Stegostoma tigrinum: one gene and its partners. The protein of the gene in region 1 purifies or fractionates together with the protein of each later gene. This does not show direct contact. Links are inferred from orthologs where the notes say so. Each region holds a gene or a part of one and is shown on either strand. Other genes may lie near its edges. The genes, in order: ankyrin repeat domain-containing protein 46, atrn and E3 ubiquitin-protein ligase MGRN1-like.

Region 1 (7,116 bases):
TTGTAGGTGCCCAACTAAGAGATTAAACATTGTCTTGCTCCGTAAGTAGGAGCGGGTCACCTAGGAGTTCAATGCTACAGTGACCTTAACAGCTGATGCGAGAAGACGGCCTCCCACTCCTGCAGCCATCCTGAACAGTTCCATCTCCGTGCCCTTGAGACAAATGGAGCCTGCTTCAGCACGGCATGTTGCTCAAATTCAGGGAATGGAATTGGGGCCAGAAAGCACCAGGCCTCCTGTGCAGCCCACATATCCTGAGGATCCTGTGGCTTTGACCTCTCTCTGAGCTGGCCTGCTGCTGCTGCTGCTTCTCCTAGGCTAGACATTGCCATCATTCTCCTGCATCTGTCTTTGCTTTTTCAGGTAGGCAGCTACAGTGACCAACATACTACCAGCTAAGGGCTCATCGCTCTCAGTGGCAAGGTCCTAAATGGGGCACAGCTGGATGCAGATAACAGATATAAGTGAACATCCCCACTTCTGACCTTACGCTGGCAGGAAGGTCATTGATTAAGCAGGAGAAACTGGGCTTAGGACACTGCCCTGAGGAACTCCGGCAGAGATGTTCTGGAGCTGAGATGACTGACCTCCAACAACCAGAGCCATTTTCTTGTGAGCAAGGTATGACTCCAACCAGTGGAGACTTTTCCCCTTATTACCATTGATTCAAGTTTTGCTTGGGCTCCTTGATGCCATACTCATTCAAATGCAACCTTGCTGTCAAGGGCTGTCACTCTTAAACAGCTCTTGTTTCAATGTTTAAACTAAAGCTGCTATGAGCTTGGGAGCTGAGTAGCCCTGGTGGAACCCAAACTGGGCATTACTGAGCTAGTCTAACAAAGTGTAGAGCTGGATGAACACAGCAGGCCAAGCAGCATCAGAGGAGCAAGAAGGCTGATGTTTCGGGCTTAGACCATCTGAAGAAGGATCTTGGCCCGAAACGTCAGCCTTCCTGCTCCTCTGATGCTGCTTGGCTTGCTGTGTTCATCCAGCTGTACACTTTGTTATCTCAGATTCTGCAGTTCCTACTATTACTGAGCTGGTCATTGCTGAGCAGGTGCTGCCTGATAGCACTGTTGATGTTGATCGCTTTGTTTACGATTGAGAGTGGATAAATGAGGTGGTAATTGGCCAAGTTGGATTTGTACTGCAATGTTCTACATTGTTGAGTAGATGTGTTGTTTATCTTGGAACAGCTTGGCTAGGAGAGTGACAAGTTCTCGAGCATAACAGAATGTTGTCAGACTCCACAGCCTTTGCAGTATCCACTGCCTCCAACCATATCTTGACATCATATGGAGTTAATCAAGTTGACTGAAGACTGCATCTGTGATCATGGGGACTATTGGAGGTGTTCAATTTCTGTGAAATTTTGTTTTTTTGTCAGCATCGTCACATCACATTGCATTACATGCAGAAGACGGCAACCCTCCCCCATTCACCCTCTTGACATCATCAAAGGAGTTGCACCATGTGGATTCCAACTGAAGTTTCATCCCTCATATTTTGAATCCTCCCAGGATCGCAGGTATCTCTGTGATGTGATAGCTGCTCTCGCTGCATCCTGAGATCCACACTCAGTTACATGCACACTCTCGGCCTTTCTCTCCAAGAGCATCGCATCACATGGGCTCAGGGTTGCACCACTCTGCAGTTTCACTTCATCCTCCGGCTCACTCATCGCGCTAACTTTTCTTTTCCTTTCAGGCATCAAGGCCCAAGAAGGGTCACTGGACCCGAAACGTTAACTCTGACTTTTTTTCTTCACAGATTCTGCTAGACCTGCTGAGCTTTTCCAGCAACTTCTGTGTTAGCTCAAAGGAGTTAGCATATTTATCACCAATGGGTCCATTGCTGATGATGCCTTTTAAGCAGGCTATAGAATGAAGTTGTCAAATGTGTCTGGACATATTCTTGGAGACGTCATCACATGACCTTCCACCTTTAATTGCTTCACCCATGAAAACAGAAAATTATGGAAATACTTCATCATTATAAGGCAACGACTTTCAATCATGGTTAGTGAATCCACCCACATTCCCAAAATCCAGAAACTGCTGTAAGATTTTTATCAATGACAATGAACTGAACAAAAGCATTAACCCTGAGAAGGCTGAGATAATGGGAACTGCAGAGGCTGGAGAATCCAAGTTAACAAAGTGTGAAGCTGGATGAACACAGCAGGCCAAGCAGCATTTCAGGAGCACAAAAGCTGATGTTTCGGGCCTAGACCCTCTGATGAAGGGTCTGGGCCCGAAACGTCAGCTTTTGTGCTCCTGAGATGCTGCTTGGCCTGCTGTGTTCATCCAGCTCCACACTTTGTTAACCCTGAGAAGGCTGTTGCTTCTGATGCTGCTGTGCAGGCGACCATCTTGGCAGGTGACAATTCTGAGGCTTTGTGAGATCTGCAGCTGTTAGATGTCACTCTTCTATCACTTGGTATTGAAACTGCTGGTGATGTAATGATGACATGTGCAATACCACCATTCCATCAAACAAATGCAGACCCTTTACTACCTACTCTGATAGCCTGGAGCGCTGATTCAAGTATTAGAGGTTGAAATAGCCATGACCATGGATATCAACTTGCTGAGCAAGTGTCAGCTGACTTCTCAGAATGTGCCTCGAATCGATGCCAATGGGATCTTGAATGTGTCTGAGTGTGTGTGTGAGAGCACCTGGAGAGGAAAAATAAGATCACCATCAAAAATAAGAAAGGTTGCCTGACCAAGGATGATATTGAAAGTATGGTCTAGGAAGCACAAAAGTGAATATGACAAGTAAGGTGAAAATTTGCTGAAAGGAATGCTTTGAAATTTTATGCCTTTAATATGAAGGCCACAACTGAGGATGAGAAGCGAAATGGCAAAGTTGGACATGATGATAAGCACATCATTTTGGACAAATGTAATGAAGTTATGAGTTGGCTAGACAAGAACATGACTGCTGAAAACAGTAAGTAGAGTACCAAGTAAAGGAGCTGGAAAAAGTTGATGTTTTAAATTCAGGGACCCTTCTTCAGAATGCAGGTTCTTCTTCAATAGCATCTTTGCAAACCATCTTTCGACAGTACCTTCCATACCTGAGACCTCTGGCACCTCTGAAGGAAAAGTTCAGCAAATGCCTGTGAACACCATCTCAATCTGCTAGTTCCCCTCACTGTTGTGACTTGGAGAGACTTTCAGTCACGCTATTCTAACATACCTTTGTGGTGGGTGAGAACTGAACCCAGAGTTTCTATCCCAGACGTAGGGACATTACCATGGCACCACAAGAGACCGTCCATGTGAATTCTGTTACACTCTCCATAGAAGCTGCCAGGTCTGCTGAGTTCCCTGCAGCATTTTTTGTTTTTGTTTATTATGACACACTCTCTGGAGCATATGGGACTTGAACCCGGATCTCTTGGCTCAGAGGTATGGACACTACCATTGCACTTTAAGATCCCTAGGCATCGTGACTTGAAACCACATAGCTATTCCTTCACTGTCACTGGGTCAAAAGCCTAGAACTCCGTCCCTAATGGCACTGTGGGCATCCCTGCACCTCAGGTTGGCTCACCCAGCTTTACCCCCAGTGCAATTAGAAATAGGCAATGAATGCCATTGGCACACACATCTGAGGAACATGTAAAACAACAATGAAAACAGAAGTTGCTGGAAATGCTCAGCAGGTCTGGCAGCATCTGTGAGGAAACAAAGTCAGAGTTAACGTTTCGGGTCCTTCATCATAACAGATTCTTAGTCAGTGAGGAAGGATTTTCTTCAGAGATGCTGCCAGACCTGCTGAGCATTTTGTTCCTGGTTTACAGCATCCTTAGTTCTTTTGCTTTTGATATAAAACAACAATTAGGGTAACTGACCAAGTATATAAGCCCTGTATGTGGGTTTTGAGTGTATTTTTTTCTACTGGGATTACAGTCCATTGTTTTCTCGCCCTCCTTTTGGATGGGAAGGCGGAAGAGTTGAGCGCCGGTACACGCATTAATTTTGACCTCTTGCTGCTGCCGTCCTGTGCTCTGAGCCTGCGCGGTTGATGGGCTTTGGGGGGGCGGGGGAGGTGGCAGTCAGCGGAGAGACAGGAGGGTGGCGGAAGACTGCCATGTCGTACGTATTTATTAACGATTCCTGTCAGACCGGGGTGCCGCTGCTGCAGGCCTGCATCGACGGCGACCTCGCCTACGCCAAGCGGCTGCTGGAGAGCGGCTTTGACCCCAACATCCGTGACGGCCGAGGCCGCACCGGCCTTCACGTAGCCGCCGCCCGGGGCAACGTCGAAATCTGCCGCCTGCTGCACAAGTTCGGGGCCGACCTGCTGGCCACCGACAACCAGGGCAACACCGCCCTGCACCTCTGCGGACATGTCGACTCCATCCAGTTCCTGGTGTCCAACGGCCTCAAAATCGACATCTGGTGGGTCCGGGCTGGGGCTGGGACTGGGGCTGGAGCTGGGTCTTGGACGGAAGCATAGGCCGGCAAGTGCACACCGACACACAGAGCATCCCACCCTGACCTATCGTCCTAATCTACACATCCCTGAACACTAAGGGCAGAAGAAACCCAGGCAGACACTGGGTGAATGCAGACTCCGCACAGACAGTCGCCCGAGGGTGGAATCGAACCTGGTGCTGTGAGGCAGCAGTGCTTACTACTGAGCCACTCTTCAGTAATTTTAAAGAGATATGCCAGATGTTTCGTGGGGATTTAGGACATTTTTCCCCCTCTAGGAGGGTGGCAGAAATGTGGATTGCACTCCCTAGGAGGATAAGTGAGATGGGAATCTTCACAATCTTTTGAAAGTTCTTTGATTGGGACTTGAAACTGTCATAATATTCAAGGCTATGGGCATAGTGTGGAAATGTGGGACTAGTGTAGCTGGTGTTATATTTTTGGCAGTATAGACTTGATGAACCAAATTGTCTCTTCTGTACTGTATGATTCTATTGACTTTGACTGGGTCTCAGCTGGTTTGGAACAAAAACAGAAGTTGCTGGAAAAGCTCAGCAGGTCTGGCAGCCTCTGTGAAGAAAAAGTCAGGGTTAATGTTTTGCTTCCAGTGACCTTTCCTCAGAACTTGGATTTAGGTAGGGCTGGACAGTTAGATTGGACGTAGGTTGAAACAAACAGAAATTTCTGGAGAAAGCCATTGAGTGTTGCAACATCTGTTGAGAGAAAACAGAATTAATGTTTCAAGTCCACTGACCTTTCAGAACTGAAGAATGATCATTGGACTTGAATCGTTTACTCTTTTTTTTCTGCAAATGTTGCCAGACCTGCTGAGATTTCCCAGCAATTTTGTTTTTTTTGAGTTAAATGGAACATGAAGACAGGAAAACAAAGTGCTGGAAATATTCCAGGATGGCAGCATCTGGTGAGAGAGGGAGAGTGAATGTTTCAAATTGAATTGCCCTCTCATCAGAATTCTGTGCAGCATTGGACATAATTTTAACTCAGTTTGTGTCCAGAGATCCTTCCTGAACTGATATTTCTAGCTCTTTTTGCTTTTATTTCAAATTATAAACAAATGCATCTTTTGCATCTGCGGCAAGTAGACAGAAGCTTAATTCAGCACATTATCCAAATGGTGGCTAATGCCATATGTGTAGAATTCACTATATACTGCAGCAAAGGCGTCAGCCTTGTTTGCTGTGGTCTAGTCCTGAAGCAGGTCTCAAACCCAGACCTTGTGGTTCAGAGGTAAGTCTGCCACAAACTCAACAATGAGTGACTTCTCAGCTGATTTAGATTGTATTTTTACCCACCTGCCTTGCTTCTATATCCATTAAGATTAAGAAATTGGTCGATCTCCACATTTCAATTTTGAGGTGGCAGCCAACTCCCAAGCAGCTTTTTTGTAGGAGACATATTTCCTGGTTTGTACTGCACTTTCTGAAGAAGTGTTTCCTGACATCTTAATAGTCTACCTCTAATTTTGAGTTTATGCCCCACCAGAAGTAATTGTTTCTTTCAATCTACCCTATAAACTTCTTTAAGCACCTGAATGAGGTGTCCTGTAAATCTTCTATACTCAGTGGAATTTTGACCTAGTCTAGGCAGTCTCTCTTTGACTTTTTTGGTGCCAGTGTCTTTCTGATCTTTGTGCAGTGTAGCTTCTAAAGCCAGTTGAATCTTTGTAAGACATGGTGCTCAGAAATGAACTTGCTACTCCAACCACAGACCAACTAAAGCTAAATGCACCTAAGCTGTAACTTTTACTGTTTTGTATTTCAACTCTTGACATCCAGGCCTACATTTGAATAGTGATTCCCTGCAAATATTATTGCGCTCTTAAAAACATCACTAGATGCTCATAGGGCTATAAAACATAACAGCAGTAATAGATCATTCAACCGATTGAGTGAAAAGGAAGACTCAACGAAATCATGGCTAATCTAGATAATCCTCAACTCTACTTTCTTGTTCCCCATAACCCTGACTGGTTAAAAAAATCCTCAGCCTAAAATATACTTAATGGCCCAGCCTCTACATTTGTCTGCAATAAAGAATTCCACAGAGTCATTCTACTGTGAGGGAAGAAATTCCTGTTCATCTCAGTCTTACTTTGGCAACCCTTCACTCTAAAATTATTCTGTGTGGTCCTGGACAGTCTCTGAGTCAGAGGGAGGGGGGGGAAAAACACTTGTGCATTTACCCTGGCAAGTCCCCCAATAATCTTGTGTTTCGATAAGGTCATGTCATTCTTCTATCTTCCAAGGAGCTCAGGTAGTTCACCTTCACCTTCCCCAATACCTGCCGAACTTTTTTTTTGCTTTTTGTTATTTAGGCACCAGGACTCCCAGATTCATCTGTGCTGTAGCTTTCTTCAATTTAAATAATATTCCGCTTCTCCCCTTCCTGCCAGAGTGCAAAATCTCTCTTTCTCCCATTGAATTTTATCCGATAAGCTTTTGCCCACTTATTAACCTATTTGTATCCTTCTGCAGACTGTGTCGTCCTCAGCATTCGTCTTCCCGCTTATTTTTGTCATCTGCAAACTTGGTGATAGTCCCTTCACTTTCCTCATCCTAGTCATAAAATCTATTCTGAGTAATTGTGGTCCCACCACTGATCCTTGTGACGCTCCCTGTTTTCATCCATAATACAAACTGTTCATAGG
Region 2 (7,814 bases), on another chromosome or scaffold:
AAGTAGTTGATGTCAACACATTTAATGTATTCAAGAGGTGACTAGATATTATACTTGGGGTGAATGAGATCAAAGGTTATAGGGAGAAAGCAGGATTAGGCTATTGAGTTGGATGATCAGCCACAATTGTGAAGAATGGCAGAGCAGACTCAAAGGGCTGAATGGCCTCCTCCTGCTGCTACCTTCTATGTTTCTGTGTGAAAGGCAGAAATTGTTAGGGGATTTGAGTAAAACATTTTTCGCCCAGAGGGTGGTAGAGATCTGGATTGCACAGCCTTGGGTAGTAGAGGTGGGAAACCTCACAATCTTTAAAATTACTTGAATGAGCTCATGAAGTGTCATAACATTCAAGGCTACAAGCCTCATACTGCTAAGTGGGATGAGTGTAGATTTAGCATAGTTTTTGTTTGTGCAAGCTTGATGAACTGCTGGACTATTTGAATCAAAGAATCTATGTTTATACTCAGTTGGTCACGCTGCACCTCTCTGACTCAAATGATTCTAGAATGAAGCCTCACTTGAAGTCGTGAAACACAAGATCGTCATTAATGTTTCTGCGCAGTACTGAAGACCTCCTGCAATGTTGGAGGAGCTGTGATTCAAAGATGTTAAAATTAATCCCTATCCGTAACCTTTGAATTGGGGTTATTCCGGTGTGCAAATAAACAATTATCCTTGAACGACTCTCACTAAAATTTTAATTGGTCATTTATCTCATTGTTTGATGTATGTTATTGTTGAAAGATTTACAGTCAACATTAACTTGTAACTGGGGCTTTTGTGGTGCAATGTCAGTATTCCCTAAAGCTGGACCACAAGTTCCAGGCTCAAATACCACCTATTCTAGTTATACATGTCTGTACAGGCTGACTAAAAATATCTACCTTAGTGAGTGCACCGGAAAAGTATTTTATGGACTGTGAAGTGCACCCTGTGGTCATGCAAAGTGTAATATGAAGTAAATTATTTCTTTCTTTTCGTCAACAATTTCAGGGACTGGAATTCACAATTGCTAATCTCAGGATTACTGAATGAACCTTGCTCTAGAGTGGGGAAGAGCAAGAAGATTAGTGAAATCAATGCATGGCGAAAGATGTGATTTGGTATTGGCACCAGTTCTGCAATAAGTAAAATCTACTCCATAAAAATGGATACAAAGAACAGGCAGCTTGTGAATGCATTGACAAAACAGTTAAATGGGGAATGATTACTTGTAAAAAGGAGCCTAGAAAATAAGGCCAGGAATAATCATTGAATACATGTTTGTGCAGTCAACAATTTAGCAAAACAAATAAAATCAAATGGACCTGTTATGAAAAGAAGTGCACTGAAGTAAATGAAGCTCTCTGATGAAGGGTCTAGGCCCGAAACGTCAGCTTTTGTGCTCCTGAGATGCTGCTTGGCCTGCTGTGTTCATCCAGCCTCACATTTTATTATCTTGCACTGAAGTAAAGATGGGGGATTTCAGGAAAAAGATAGGCTGAACAAAAGAGAACTCTTTTAGATGAAGCAAAGAAGTTGAATACCATATGTGGGATGCAGGCAGCAAGCTGGGGGAATTCGGATGCAATCATTTTGCTGGAAGATCTATATTCCATGAATTAGCAGAAACCTAGTTACAGCTGCGAAAGAATGGAAAATAAGCATTTTAAATCTTTCCTGTAAGTAATTTCTTGGTGATACAGAACTTAAACATTCCTAGAAATGATATTTTTCAATTTTCATAATAATTTAAAATTTGTTTTTGGCTTGTGGGCTGTACAGGAAGTATCAGTCTTGAAATGTGTGAAGAGCTGCCTTCTTGAAAATCTGTAGTGTTTGTGATGTGAATATATCACCAGAATGCCATGGGGTGGAGTTCTATGTTTTTGATTTAGCAGTGAGGAGTGTCCGCTCTCTTGATCCTCCTCGTGGTGGTCATTGTGGATTTGTAATATGTCGTAATGAACTGCTGTAGCGCATCTTGAAGACAGGGCAACTGCTTACATTTGGTTCCACTAGTGGAGGGAATGATTGTTGAAGGCAGAAAATGGGGTCCTAAATAAACAGGTTGCTTTGTCCTGGATGATAGTCAGCTTTCTTGAAAGTCTTTGGAACTTACTTATCCAGTCAAGCGGGATGGTCTTGCTTATATACTTGAATTATGCTTTGGAAATGGTGGCAGAATTTGGGGAGTCAGGAAATCAGTGACATCTTCCACAGCCTCTAACTTACTCTTATAGCTTGTTGCCTGTATGTAGTTCTGTATTGTAGCTCCATGTGGTTAGGAACTCATTTTTTGGTGCAGCTTAATGGTAGGAGATGGGGAGCAGAGGACTATTTGTGTGACTGGAGGCTGGTATCTGGTGGCATACCACAGGGATAAGACCGTGAGACATCAGAGCTAAAGTAGGCCATTCAGCCCATCATGGTTGCTGCACCATTTGATCATGGCTGATGTGTTTCTCAACCGCATTCTCTTGCCTTCTCCCCTTGAACTTTGAAGGACACATGTCAGGGTAGGTTTGCAGGTGAGAAGAAGATCATAGGATGGGGAAGCAGACCATTTGGCCCGTACTGGCCTTCCAAAGAGCACCACATCTTGATCCACCCCGCTACCCATAATGCTGCATTTTCCATGTTTAATTCATCTAACATACAGATCCCTGCACACAATGGGGGAATTTAGCATGGTCAATCCACCTAACCTGCACATCTTTGGACTGTGGGAGAGAACCAGAAGACCCAGAGGAAACCCACATAGACGTGGAGAGAGTGTGCAAACTCTACACGGACAGTCACCTGAGGCTGGAATTGTCCCCTGGGTGCCCGATGCTGAGACGCAACAGTGCTGACCACTGAGCCACCATGATGCCCATGATGTTGATTAATGATGAGGAAGAAGGTCTTACGTTACAAGTTGGTCTATGGGCAGATCAGTGGCAAACATACTACAGATGTCTTTTTAATGTACCGTATCGTTTCACATTTGATCCCTTTCCCCAACTATTTTGTTTAAAACTCTCACTAAGTTTGCAGTTACCCAAATAGAATCCAACATGAACATATTAAATCTATGTCAGCAAGAAAAGTAAACTTCCTGAAGAGAACCAGCGCACAAGGCTAGGGGTTGTATCCAGTAACAGACTTTTAATGGGATATCTCAGAATATTCAGAACAATTCATATTCCTACTACAAAGAAATATTGGACCCACCATCCATAGTTAATTAAGGAACATAGTTAATGTGTCAAACTTGATGACAACAGATATAACTGTGGAAAGATAAGTGGCAGGTCAGATGATTATTCACTATAGAAACAGATGAAAAGATTAATCCAAGAGAAGAAATTTGAATATGAGAGGGAATTCATTCACTATGAATGAAAATCCAGATAGCAAGAGTTTCTACAGGTATTAATAAAAGTGAGTTAGCAAAGTATGTTCAGAGATAATGGGAACTGCAGATGCTGGAGAATCCAAGATGACAAAGTGTGGAGCTGGATGAACATAGCAGGCCAAGCAGCATTGCAGGAGCACGAAAGCTTTTGTGGTCCTGAGATGCTGCTTGGCCTGCTGTGTTCATCCAGCTCCACACTTTGTTATCTAAGCAAAGTTTGTGATGGTCCTCTGGATATTTAAGTAGGAATTAGCAGTAGAGAATAACAAAAGGTTAGAGCAACAAATATTTTACTTAAGTCTTCAATAGAGGGGATACAAAAATGTGGCTGTTATAGCTCTAAATCAGGAAATGAAAATTATAATCAGAAGGGGAGTGGCACAGAGTAACTCGATGGAGGTGCAGGCTGTCAAGAGCTGAGACCAAATAAACTTTTATCCTAGAGCTAATGAACTATAAGATGTGTTCCTGTTAATTTTACAAAGTTGTTTCAGTTCAGGGAAAGTTCCATCAGATTGCAAAGAAGCAAATTTATCTTGTCTATTCAAAAAGGGAGGAAAGGAGCAAACAAGAAACAACAGGCCATTTAGCTTGGCATCAAATGTCAGGAACGTGTCAGAATAGATCATTAAGGAGATTATGTAGTTACACATGCTTGGAAAAACTCAGTGTAATCAGGAAGAGTCTTATGGTTTTGTTGGAAAGGAATCATCTTTAACTAACTTATTGGAGTTCTTCAAACGTGTAATATGTGCTGTGGATAAAGGGAACACACACTCAACTTGGAGTTCCAGGTGGCATTAGATTAGGTGGCACAAAGGTCATTGCAAAAAAACAAATTTCATGGTAGGCAGGGTTAACTTTTCAGCATGGACAGAAAACTGGCTGGCCGTCAGAAAATATCTGGGTATGCATAAAAATGCCTTTGTATGACTGGCGGATGTGATGAATAGTGTTCCACAGGGGACAGTACTGGGCCTGAAAGTTTTACAATTCTCATCAATGATTTGGATGAGACGAAGGAAGGCATGGTTAGCTAAATTTAGATGTTCACTTGCATATGTCACAAGAAGTTAGCACGCAAGTGCAGCACATAATGAAGAAAGCTAATTAAGTGTTCTCCTTTTTTACTGAAGGAAGTGAACATAAAGAGGCATGTCTATCTCACAAAAGAGGCTAGTACCTAAGTTTAACGGTTATGAGGAAAGGCAAATGGAATGCAAAGAGAAGTCGGGAGATCTTGCTTGGAGCGGATAGCAGGAAAATATGCAGCATGCGGGCCAAGCAAGTGCATGAGCGGGGAGGTGAGCACGCGCGCATGCTCAGGCGGTGGTGATTCGGTGCGCAGGTGCAGTGGTGGCGGCGTGTTTTTTTTTTACCATCTTCTCCCGGGGACGGTCTGCGGATCGAGCACAAAGTTGAGAATATGGCGGCGGCGGGGGAGCGACGGACCGGCTCCGCGCTCCGACGGACGCTGGGCACCGGCTCGTGGAGTTTCCTGAAGTGGGGCGTCATGCTGGCGCTGTGTGTGTCCATGTGCGGGTGGCCCGGAGCCCAGGGCAAGGAGTGTGAGAAGCGGTGTGTCCACGGGAACTGCAGCGCGGCGGGCGGACAGTGCGTGTGTGAAGCTGGCTGGGTCGGGGAGCTGTGTCAGCACTGCGGCGGCAGGTTCAAGTGAGTCAGGGGGCTGGTGGGCCTCACCGACTGCGGCTTTCCGACACACACGGCCGTAAACCACCCTGACCCCCGCCGCTGCCACTACCCCGACCCCCCACCCTGACCCCCGCCGCTGCCACTACCCCGACCCCCCACCCTGACCACCACCACCACCACGACCCCCGCCAGCACCACCACGACCCCTTTCCACATTCACTGTCCATGTTTTATTCATTTCTCGCCCTGTCTACCCTTCCTTAAGTATCCCTCTGTATCCTCAGTGTTACTTTTGATTGCTATTTGTTAGAAACCTGAAATGCAATTTGTTTTTTTTCTAGAAAATTGATTTGTACATGTGCACGGTTTAGGCCATTTTGACGCTGTTTGCTTTCGGACATAGGAGCAGAAGTAGACCATTCAGAACATTAAGTCTGCTCCATTATTTGTTGAAATCATGGTTGATTTGATAATTCTAAACTGGACTTTTTTGCTTTTCTCCATAACCCTTGATTGCCTTACCGATTTAAAAATTTGTCTTCCTTAATGTTGAACGTACTTAATGAGTCAGCCTTGACAACCCTCCGCTGAAGAATTCCACAGATTGATTACCCTCTGAGAAAATAAATTTTTCCTCATCTGTGTTGAACGGGTGACTATGCATTCTGAGATTACGCCCACTTTGCCAGAGCCTTCCACAAGGGAAAATAACTTTGTACATCAACTGCTTCAGGTGCTCGAAGAATTTTGTATGTTTGAATAAAGTCACTCCTTATTCGTCAAGTCCAATGATTTCAGGCCTAACTTACTCCACCTCTTTGTAAGACAGCCTGCCCATACTCTGGACTGCCTCCAATGCCTATATGCCTTGCTTTAGATAAAGGTGTCAAAACTGTTGAGTTCTAAGTGTGACCTGATCGTGCCTTGTATAGAGATAACAAGACCTCCCTGATTTTTTTAATACTCCATTGCCCTTTGAAATAAAGGCCACCATTCCATTTGTGTTCTCTGTTGTGGCTCGTCTTTGCAGACTTTTTGGCATTTTCTTCACTTGCCTTCCCACCTGTCTGTCATCTGCAAACGTGGCTGCAGTTTAGTCACTTTTCTCGTCCAAGTCATTAATATACATTTTAAACAGTTGTAGTCCTTAAGTAATTGAGTGACACTGATTCCTGTAGCATTCCACTGGTTATTGATTGCCATCCTGAAAATACCCCTGTTGGACTGTCTTAAATGATCATCAAACTAATACATTAGTTTCTAATATACTGCATCCAACTTTGAGACGTCTTGGTGAATCTGCCACCTAATTTAACATACGTGCTGTTGTGCCTCAATAATATTCATTCTCATTTCACGTTATGATTTTAATTTCTCATTAATTGCCACTTGCAGTGGAGATTTCAGACTTTGGTCATTCTCCACAAACCTACAGTGTGGAGCCAGGAGTAGGCCATGATGCTGCTTGAGTCTGTTGTGCCATCACAGCTAGCTAATCTACCTACCCTGGTTAGCCTTTCACTTTCTTTATCAACGCTGTATCTACATGCTTAAAATATTCATAGACTGCTCCCACTGTGGAAGAGAGAAGCAATGACTCGGGACCCTTTTAAAAGAGGAAGAAAAATTATCTATCTTTCTGGGCAGCTTTTTTTTTTAAGATACTGGCCTGCCATTCGACATCCTCCCAATAGAAGAATCATCCTATCGACATTCACCCTGTCAAGATCGTTCATGATCTTAAATGTTCTAATCAAGTCATTATTGCTTTTCTAAACCCTAATAAAAACAAGCCTAGTTCATCCAACCTCTTCACTATCAAGTTTGCTACCAATTTGTGTCATCCACAAACCTACTAATTGTACCTTCGACACACATCCAAGTCACAAATCTACATAACAGCAAAGGTCCCAGCACCAAATCCTGTGATACATTGCTGGTCACAGGCTTTCAATTAGAAATACAACCCTCCACATCACCCTTTGCCTTCCATTTGGAAATCAGTTTTGGATCCAGTTTGTCAACTTGCCTTGAATCCATGGGCACTTAGCTTGAAACCCAGCCTTCCCAAGACCTTAGTGAAATCTCTGTAAACAACATCAGTTGCACTACCCTCATCATTATATTTAGTTGTCTTTTCAAAACACTCAATTAAATTAGTCAGACAGGACCTTCCTCTGATAAATCAGTGGTGCCTACCCTGATCGATCTATGCCTTTCCAAGTATTGACCAATCCTGTCCTTCAGATTTTTTTCAATAATTTCCTTCCCACTGACGTTAGACTAGTACTGGAATGCATGAATTACCTGGCTTATCCTTGCTGCCCTTCTTGAGCAAGGGAATATCATTAGATATCCACTAATCACCTGGCACTTCACCTGTGACCTGTGAGTATTAAATAAATGTGCGAGGGTCCCAGCAATCTCTCCTTGTGCTGAACATAGCAGCCTGGTATACTTCTCTTAAGGCCTTGGGGATTAATGCATTTTTATGCTCATTAAAACATCTAATACTGCCTCTTTATTAATGTTAATGTGCGCTAGACCTCACCAACCCAACTGAAATCCCTAGATATGTCTTTCACCTTTGTGAATAGAGATGAGAAGTATTCATTTCAGATCTCACCCACGTCTACCGGCTCCACACACAGATTGTCCCTTTGCTGTCTAAAGGCCTTAGTCTTTCTCTCCTGATCACCTTACTCTTTCTTTACATCGTAAAGAGCCTTGGGGTTTTTCTTGCTCCCACCCGATAGTGCTATTTTGTGGTTCCTATTTTGCT
Region 3 (7,237 bases), on another chromosome or scaffold:
CCATTCTTTAGATGACATGTCCATCATGGGCCTCCTGCAGTGCCAAAATGATGCCACCCAAAGGTTGCAGGAACAGCAACTCATATTCCGCCTGGGAACCCTGCAGCCTAATGGTATCAATGTGGACTTCACCAGTTTCAAGATCTCCCCTTCCCCAACTGCATCCCTAAACCAGCCCAGTTCATCCCCTCCCCCCACTGCACCACACAACCAGCCCAGCTCTTCCCGCCCCACCCACTGCATCCCAAAACCAGTCCAACCTGTCTCTGCCTCCCTAACCGGTTCTTCCTCTCACCCATCCCTTCCTCCCACCCCATGCCGCACCCCCATCTACCTACTAACCTCATCCCACCTCCTTGACCTGTCCGTCTTCCCTGGACTGACCTATCCCCTCCCTACCTCCTCACCTATACTCTCTCCACCTATCTTCTTTACTCTCCATCTTCGGTCCGCCTCCCCCTCTCTCCCTATTTATTCCAGAACCCTCACCCCATCCCCTTCTCTGATGAAGGGTCTAGGCCCGAAACATCAGCTTTGGTGCTTCTGAGATGCTGCTTGGCCTGCTGTGTTCATCCAGCCTCACATTTTATTATCTTGTATGTGTAAGAGATGTGTTTTGTTTGTTGGGATAGAGTCAAACTCCATTGTTTGTTTGTTTCCTTGATGTGGGGGAAAGGAAGGGTAGAACTCTTTGTTCTTTGTTCTTTAGAAAACTCCAACAAGTATAATGTCCAAGGGGAAACAAAGCAGCAGGTTAACCTATGTGGGGGTGGATCCAACTGCATGTAAAACTATGAAAAAAATGAAAGGAAAGGGGAACCATGGAACGGTTGTTAATGTCACCAGAACACAAAATAGGACAGAGTGCTTGGAAAGGGTTAGGAATCAAACTTCAAGCACACTGGTTAAACAATGACAATCAGAAGAGAAATGCTAAATACAGGACTGAAGGTGTCCTACCTGAATGCATGCAGCATATGAAATGAGGTAAATGAGCTTGTGGTGCAGATCAAAATCAGCAGGTTTAATGTAGGCATCACAGAGACATGGCTGCAAGGGAATCAGGACTGGGAGCTAAATATCCAAGGATATTTATACCGACAAGACAGGCAAGTGGGCAGAGGGGATGGGATTACCTTATTAGTAAGAAACAAAGTTAAATCAGTAGCAAGAAATAATGTCGGGTCAGGTGATGTGGCATTTGTGTGCGTAGAGTTGAGGAATCACAAGGTTATAAAAACCATGATGAGAGTTATGTACAGGCCTCCAAAAAGTAGTCAGGACATAGGGCACAAGATATACCAGGAGATAGAAAAGGCGTGTAAGAAAGAGAAGATCATTGGGAATTTAAATATGCAGGTGGACTGGGAAAATCAGGTTGGTAGTGCATCACAAGACAAGGAATTTGTGCAATGTCTAAAAGATGGCTTTTTGGAGCAGCTTGTGGTAGAGCTCACCAGGAAACAGGCAAGTCTGGATTTAGTGATGTGCAATGAGGCAGACATAATAAGGAACTTAAGGTGAAGGAACCCTTAAGTAGGTAGTGACCACAACATGATACAATTTACTGTTCAATTTGAGGGAGAAGATGGAATCAGATGTAACAGTATTACAGTTGAATAAGGGCACCTACAGAGCTGACCAGAATTGACTGAGAGAGGAGCCTAGCATGAAAGACAGTGGAACAGCAATGGCAGGAGTTTCTGGGAGTAATTTGGGAGACATAGTAAAAATTCAGTCCTTGGAAAAAGAAGCATACTAAAGGGACAATCAGTCAACCATGGCTGACAAGGGAAGTCAGGGTCAGCATAAAAACAAAACAGAAAGCATATAATGCAACAAAGGGCATTGAGAAGCCTACAAAGACAAACAGAGGACAATGAAAAAATCAATAAGGACAGAGAAGATTAAATTTGAGGTAATCTAGCCAATAATATAACAGAAGATTGCGAGAGTTTCTTCGGATATATAAAGGGCAAAAGAGGCAAAAAGGGACATTGTGCCACTGGAGAAGTAGTAATGGGGAACAAAGAAATTGTGGAGGAACTGAACAAGTACTTTGGCATTAGTCTTCAGGGTGGAAGACATGAGTAACATTCCAAAACTTCAAGACAGTCAGGGGACAGAGTTGAGTATGGTGGCCATCTCCAACGAGAAGGTGCTAGAAAAACTGAAAGGTCTGAAAGTGGACAAATCATCTGGGCCAATTGGACTGCAGCCAAGAGTTCTGAAGGAGATAGCTGAAGAGATAGTGGAGACATTAAAAGTGATCGCACCAGAATTACTGGAGTCAGGTAGGGTCTCAGAAGACTGAAAAATCATTAATGTAACCCACTGTTTAACATGGAAGTGGGACAAAAGTTACAGGCCAATTAGACTGACCTCGGTCATTGGTAAGATTATGGAGACCATTGTGAAGGATGAGATTTCTGAATACTTGAAAATGCATGGTAAAATAGAGCAAAGTCAGCATGGTTTCATCAAGAGGAGATCATGCCTGACAAATCTATTAGAATTCTTTGAGAAGGTAACGAGCAGGTTAGACAAAGGAGAAGTAATGTATGTTATCAACTTGGACTTGCAGAGGCCCTTGACAAAGTGTGCACCATGATGCTGCTGATTAAGATAAGAGCCCATGGTGTTAGAGGCAAGGTACTAGCAGGGATAGAAGATTGGCCGTCTGGCAGAAAGTGAGGATAAAAGTGTCCTTCTCAGAATGGAAGTCAGTAACTAGTGGTGTTCTGCAAGGTTCAGTGTTGGGAGCACGATTTTTCATTTCATACATTAATGGTCCAGGTGAATGAACTGAAGGCATTCTGACTAAGTTTTCAGATGATACAAACATAGGTGGAGGGACAGATAGTATTGAGGAGGTGGGGAGGCTGCATAAGAATTTAGACAGGTTAGAAGAGTGGGCAAAAAAGGTGGCAGATGGAATACAATGTGGGAAAGTGTGAGGTAAGAAGAATTTTGGTTAGAAGAATAAAGACATAGCCTATTTTCTAGTTGGAAAGAAAATTCAGAAATCTGAAGTGCAAAGGGCCAGGGGAGTCCTAGTCCAGGATTCTCTTAAGGTAAACTTGCAGATTGAGTTGGTAGTCAGAAGGGGCAAATACAATGTTGGCATTTATTTCAAGAGGACTGGAATATAAAAGCAGGGATGTACTTCTGTGGCTTTATAAGACTCGGGTCAGACCACATTTAGAGTATTTTGAACAATTTGGGCCCCATACCTCAGGAAAGATGTACTGGCCCTGGAGGTTCACGGTAATGATTCCAGGAATGAAAGGTTTATCATGTGAGAAATGTTTGAGAACTCTGGGTCTACATTCAAGAGAATTTAGAAGGATGAAGGGAGATCTAATTGAGACTTACAACATAGCAACCCAAGGGCACAGTTTTAGAGTAAAGGAAGACCCTTTAGAACAGAGATGAGAAGGTAAATCTTTGGAATTCATTGCCACAGAAGGCAGTGGAGGCCAGATCATGAATATACTTAAGACAAAGATAGATAGCTTCTTGATTGGTAAGGAGACCAAACGTTACAGGAAGAAAAAGTGGAAAAATGGATTTGGGAAACTTCACAGCCATGATTGAACAGTGAAGATCCGATGGGCCGAATGGCCTAATTTGTGCTCCTATGTCTGATGGTCTGTGCAGCTGTATAGAATCGAACTGCATTTGTGACAATGTATATTTTACGATGGGATTTTTTTCATAAAGTATATTCTTGAAATACGAGAAGTGTGTTGCTATAGTTTAAGGAGAGTTATCAGGCTACTGCTATGCCTGAACAAGTTAATTGGCCTTCAACATGTTAAGGCTTAGTCACACACCATTAAAGACCTAAACCTGAGGTGACACCCTCGGAATCATATCAGCTGGGCGAGGAAACAAGGGAAGAGAAGCCTGGGTAATGCACCATTCCCCAACACCAAAAAGCTGCCAGGACACACAGGGAATGGGAATAGACAACCAACACGAGAACAGCGTGACAGAGACCGGAAGTGGCGTTTATCCTTGCGGTGCACCCTGGATAATGGTGTCTTTCCTGCCTACTGAGTGCCGTCACCGTAGGGAGCCGAGAACTACAGTTCCCAGAGTTCTCCAGTGTCCTTCCCCCTTCCACTCTGCGCATTGGGGACCGGGACTTCCGGCGGTGGAAAGTTTGCGACCGTTTTATGACGGAACAGAAAATGTTCCTTTTGTGGGTGCCTGGAAAGATGAATTAGTCTTCGTTTGGCGAGAGATTTGTTCTTTTGTAGCTTGAGTTCCGATCGAGGGCGTGCACCCTCCTCCCCCACCCCCCGAATAGTAGTTGTTCCTTGTGTTCGGCTTTAAGGCTGGGGTTGGTTAATTGAGGGCGACTGTGAAGGCCCGAGTGGGTTTGAGGACGAGATTGTTTGAGGGTGAGGGGCTGAGACGTTTTGAGGGTTTATGTGAAGGTCTGAGGGCGGAGGGTTTTGTTTTAATTAAAAGCGGCTTTGAGTTTTCAGTTGCCCCCTGCCCTGAACTCGGGACGGTATAACCATGGGCTCGGTGCTCAGCCGGAGAATCGCTGGAGTCGAGGATATCGACATCCAGGCCAACTCGGCCTACAGATACCCACCGAAATCTGGTAAGGGACAGTGACCCCCTTCGCCCATTGGAATCAGTTCTGTACTTAATGATGCAGGTGTTTGTGTGCTGTATGTTCAGTTATACTTGTGGTTCTGACCATGAATTTCCGAATAGGTGGCAAATATATCCATCTCGATCATGTTAGTTAATGTCTTTCTAAGAAATTCTTTGTTTGAGTGTTTAGAATATAGACGTAAGATTACTGGAGAATAGTATGGAGAAGTGTAAGGTTTTCACTTTGCGAAGAATACAGAAGTTTTTTTAAGTGTATGGAATTTATAAACAATACGACAAATTGCTGGGAAATCTCAGTAGGTCTGGCAGCATCAGTGTAGAGAAAGCAAGCTTCACGATTCTGGCCCAGTGATGCCTCTTCAAAACTCCAGCAATTTGTAATTTTGTAAATGTTGATTTGTAATTTGTAATTTGTAAATGTTGATGTTCAGAAGTGTATAGGTGTACTTTGTAGAAGAATCACGAAGTTAGCTGCTGGGTAAAGCAAGCAATTTGGAAAGTGTATGGCGCATTGTCCTTAATGAGAATGGGATTGGGTTGCAAAAATGAAGTAACCTATGATTTATGTAAAGGACTTTGAGGCAACTCCTGGAATACCAATCTGAAGAAGAGTCTTATCCAACTTGAAATGTTAACTCCGTGTTTTGCTCCATAGGTGCGATCAAACCTGATTTGATTTATTAATACTGTCACATGCACTGAAGTACAGTGAAAAGTATTGTCTTACATATTTTACAGGCAGATCATACTACACAAACGCATCAAGGCAAAAGAAGAGAGTGGCGAATACAATGTTAGAGCTGCTGAAAAGTTGGGGTGGGGTCAGAGAGAGATATCAATGTTAACCTATTGAATGGACCTATTTAATGTTAATAACAGTGGGAAGAAGTAATTCTTGTGTCTTACTTTATGAATACAAACAGTTATATTTTCTGCCTGGTGATACAGAGTATACCCCAGTGGGAGGGATCTTTGGTTATGTTGGTTGTTTTCTTGGTGCAGCGGGAGGTGTAGATGAAGGTATTGGATGGCAGGAGGGTTTATGTGGTTGACTGGGCTGTGTTCACAACTCTATGTAGGCCCTTTCATTCTTGGAAGGGGCAGTTGTCGGATCACACTGTGAAGCAAAGGATGCTTTCTGTGGTGTTTATGTAAAAATTTGTAGGAGTCTTTATCAACATGCCTAATTTTCTTAGTCTCCTAAGGTGTTGTTGTGCTTTCTTGACACCAGTATTAATGTGGGTGGACCAGGACAGAGCATTGGTGAATGCCACTCACAGGAACTTGACATTTCCTCAGCTTCGTTGATATAGGCAGGGGCGTGCCCTCTACTCCGCTTCCTGAAGTCAATGACCAGCTCCTTCATTTTGCTGCTGTTGATGAAGAGAGTGTTGTCTTGACATCATGCTGTTCAGCTCTTTATCTCCTTCCTGTAGTTTGTCTCCATTGTTTGAGATATGCCCTAAAATGGTACTGTTGTCAAATTTATAAATGTGGTGGGTGTGGAATTTGGCCATTCAGTTGTCTGTCTGTGTATAAGGAGTATAGTAAGGGGCTATGTACACAGCTTTGTGGAACCCTGGTGTTGAGGGTTACTGTCGAGGAGGTGTTGTCAACTATTCTTATTGATTGTGGTCTGTTGGATAGAAGGTCGAGAATCCAGTTACTGAAGGGGGTGTAGAGACTTAGTTTCTCGAGTTTGAACATGAGTTTGTTTGTGATGCTGATGTTGAAGTTGTAGTCAATAAATAGGCACCTGATGTATGTATCCTTATTGTCTAGATGGTCCTAGGTCCAGGGAGATGGTGTCTGCTATGGTCCTGTTGCAAATTACAACGGATCAAGGCAACCTAGGATGCTGAAGTTGATGTGAGTGATGACCAACTTCCCAAGGCACTTGAGATAACAAGATGTAGAGCTGGATGAACACACCAGGCCGAGCAGGAAGGTTGATGTTTCGGGCTTGGACCCTTCTTCAAAAAGGCCTCCCAAGCACTTCATAACTTCATAATTATGGATGTCATAGATACCAGGTGATAGTCATTGAGGGATGCTGCATAAGTTTTCTTTGGTACTGTGATGATGGTGGTTGTCTTGGAGCAGGTAGAGACTTCAGGTCCTAGTAAGGAGAGGTTGAAGATGTCGGTGAATACTCCCGCCAGCTAGCCCACACAGGATCTGAGTGCATGGCCATTTATGCCGGTCGCTTTCAGTGAGTTCACCCTTAAGAATGCCGGTCCAGTGCCTGTGGTGGTGACCAAGGGTACAGATGCATCTGAGGCTGATGCGACAGGCGCCATCGTTTCTCTGACCTTTTGTTCAAAGTGAGTGTAGAGTGTATTGACATCTTCAGATAGGGATGTACTGTTGTCCGCGATTCTGTTTGACTTCGCTTTGTTGTCGGTTATGTTGTGTAAGCCTTGCCAAAAACAACAGGGGTCCATGTGGTTAGTTTGGGTCTCAAGCTTAGTTTGGTATTGCTTCTTGCCATCCCTGGCGGCCTTGTGAAGATCATATTTGGATTTCATGTACAGATTAGGGTCGCCCAACTTGAATGTCTCGCATCTGGACTTCAGCGAGGGAGTGGATCTTCTAGTTCGTT

The links.
Region 2: the proteins of ankyrin repeat domain-containing protein 46 (region 1) and atrn purify together in Homo sapiens (co-immunoprecipitation; 3 studies listed by BioGRID and IntAct, with this or other methods). This does not show direct contact. The link is inferred for Stegostoma tigrinum from reciprocal best matches to the Homo sapiens genes ANKRD46 and ATRN.
Region 3: the proteins of ankyrin repeat domain-containing protein 46 (region 1) and E3 ubiquitin-protein ligase MGRN1-like purify together in Homo sapiens (co-immunoprecipitation; 3 studies listed by BioGRID and IntAct, counting the BioPlex papers as one, with this or other methods). This does not show direct contact. The link is inferred for Stegostoma tigrinum from reciprocal best matches to the Homo sapiens genes ANKRD46 and MGRN1.

The regions. Positions count from the first base shown.
Region 1 is NC_081368.1:15,500,627-15,507,742, reverse strand, and holds the start of ankyrin repeat domain-containing protein 46, read left to right. Parts: upstream 1-4,031; 5' UTR 4,032-4,035; coding exon 4,036-4,412; intron 4,413-7,116.
Region 2 is NC_081354.1:177,835,744-177,843,557, reverse strand, and holds the start of atrn (attractin), read left to right. Parts: upstream 1-4,730; 5' UTR 4,731-4,805; coding exon 4,806-5,053; intron 5,054-7,814. UniProt on the Homo sapiens protein: Involved in the initial immune cell clustering during inflammatory response and may regulate chemotactic activity of chemokines. May play a role in melanocortin signaling pathways that regulate energy homeostasis and hair color.
Region 3 is NC_081376.1:5,521,010-5,528,246, forward strand, and holds the start of E3 ubiquitin-protein ligase MGRN1-like, read left to right. Parts: upstream 1-4,144; 5' UTR 4,145-4,530; coding exon 4,531-4,618; intron 4,619-7,237. UniProt on the Homo sapiens protein: E3 ubiquitin-protein ligase. Mediates monoubiquitination at multiple sites of TSG101 in the presence of UBE2D1, but not of UBE2G1, nor UBE2H. Plays a role in the regulation of endosome-to-lysosome trafficking.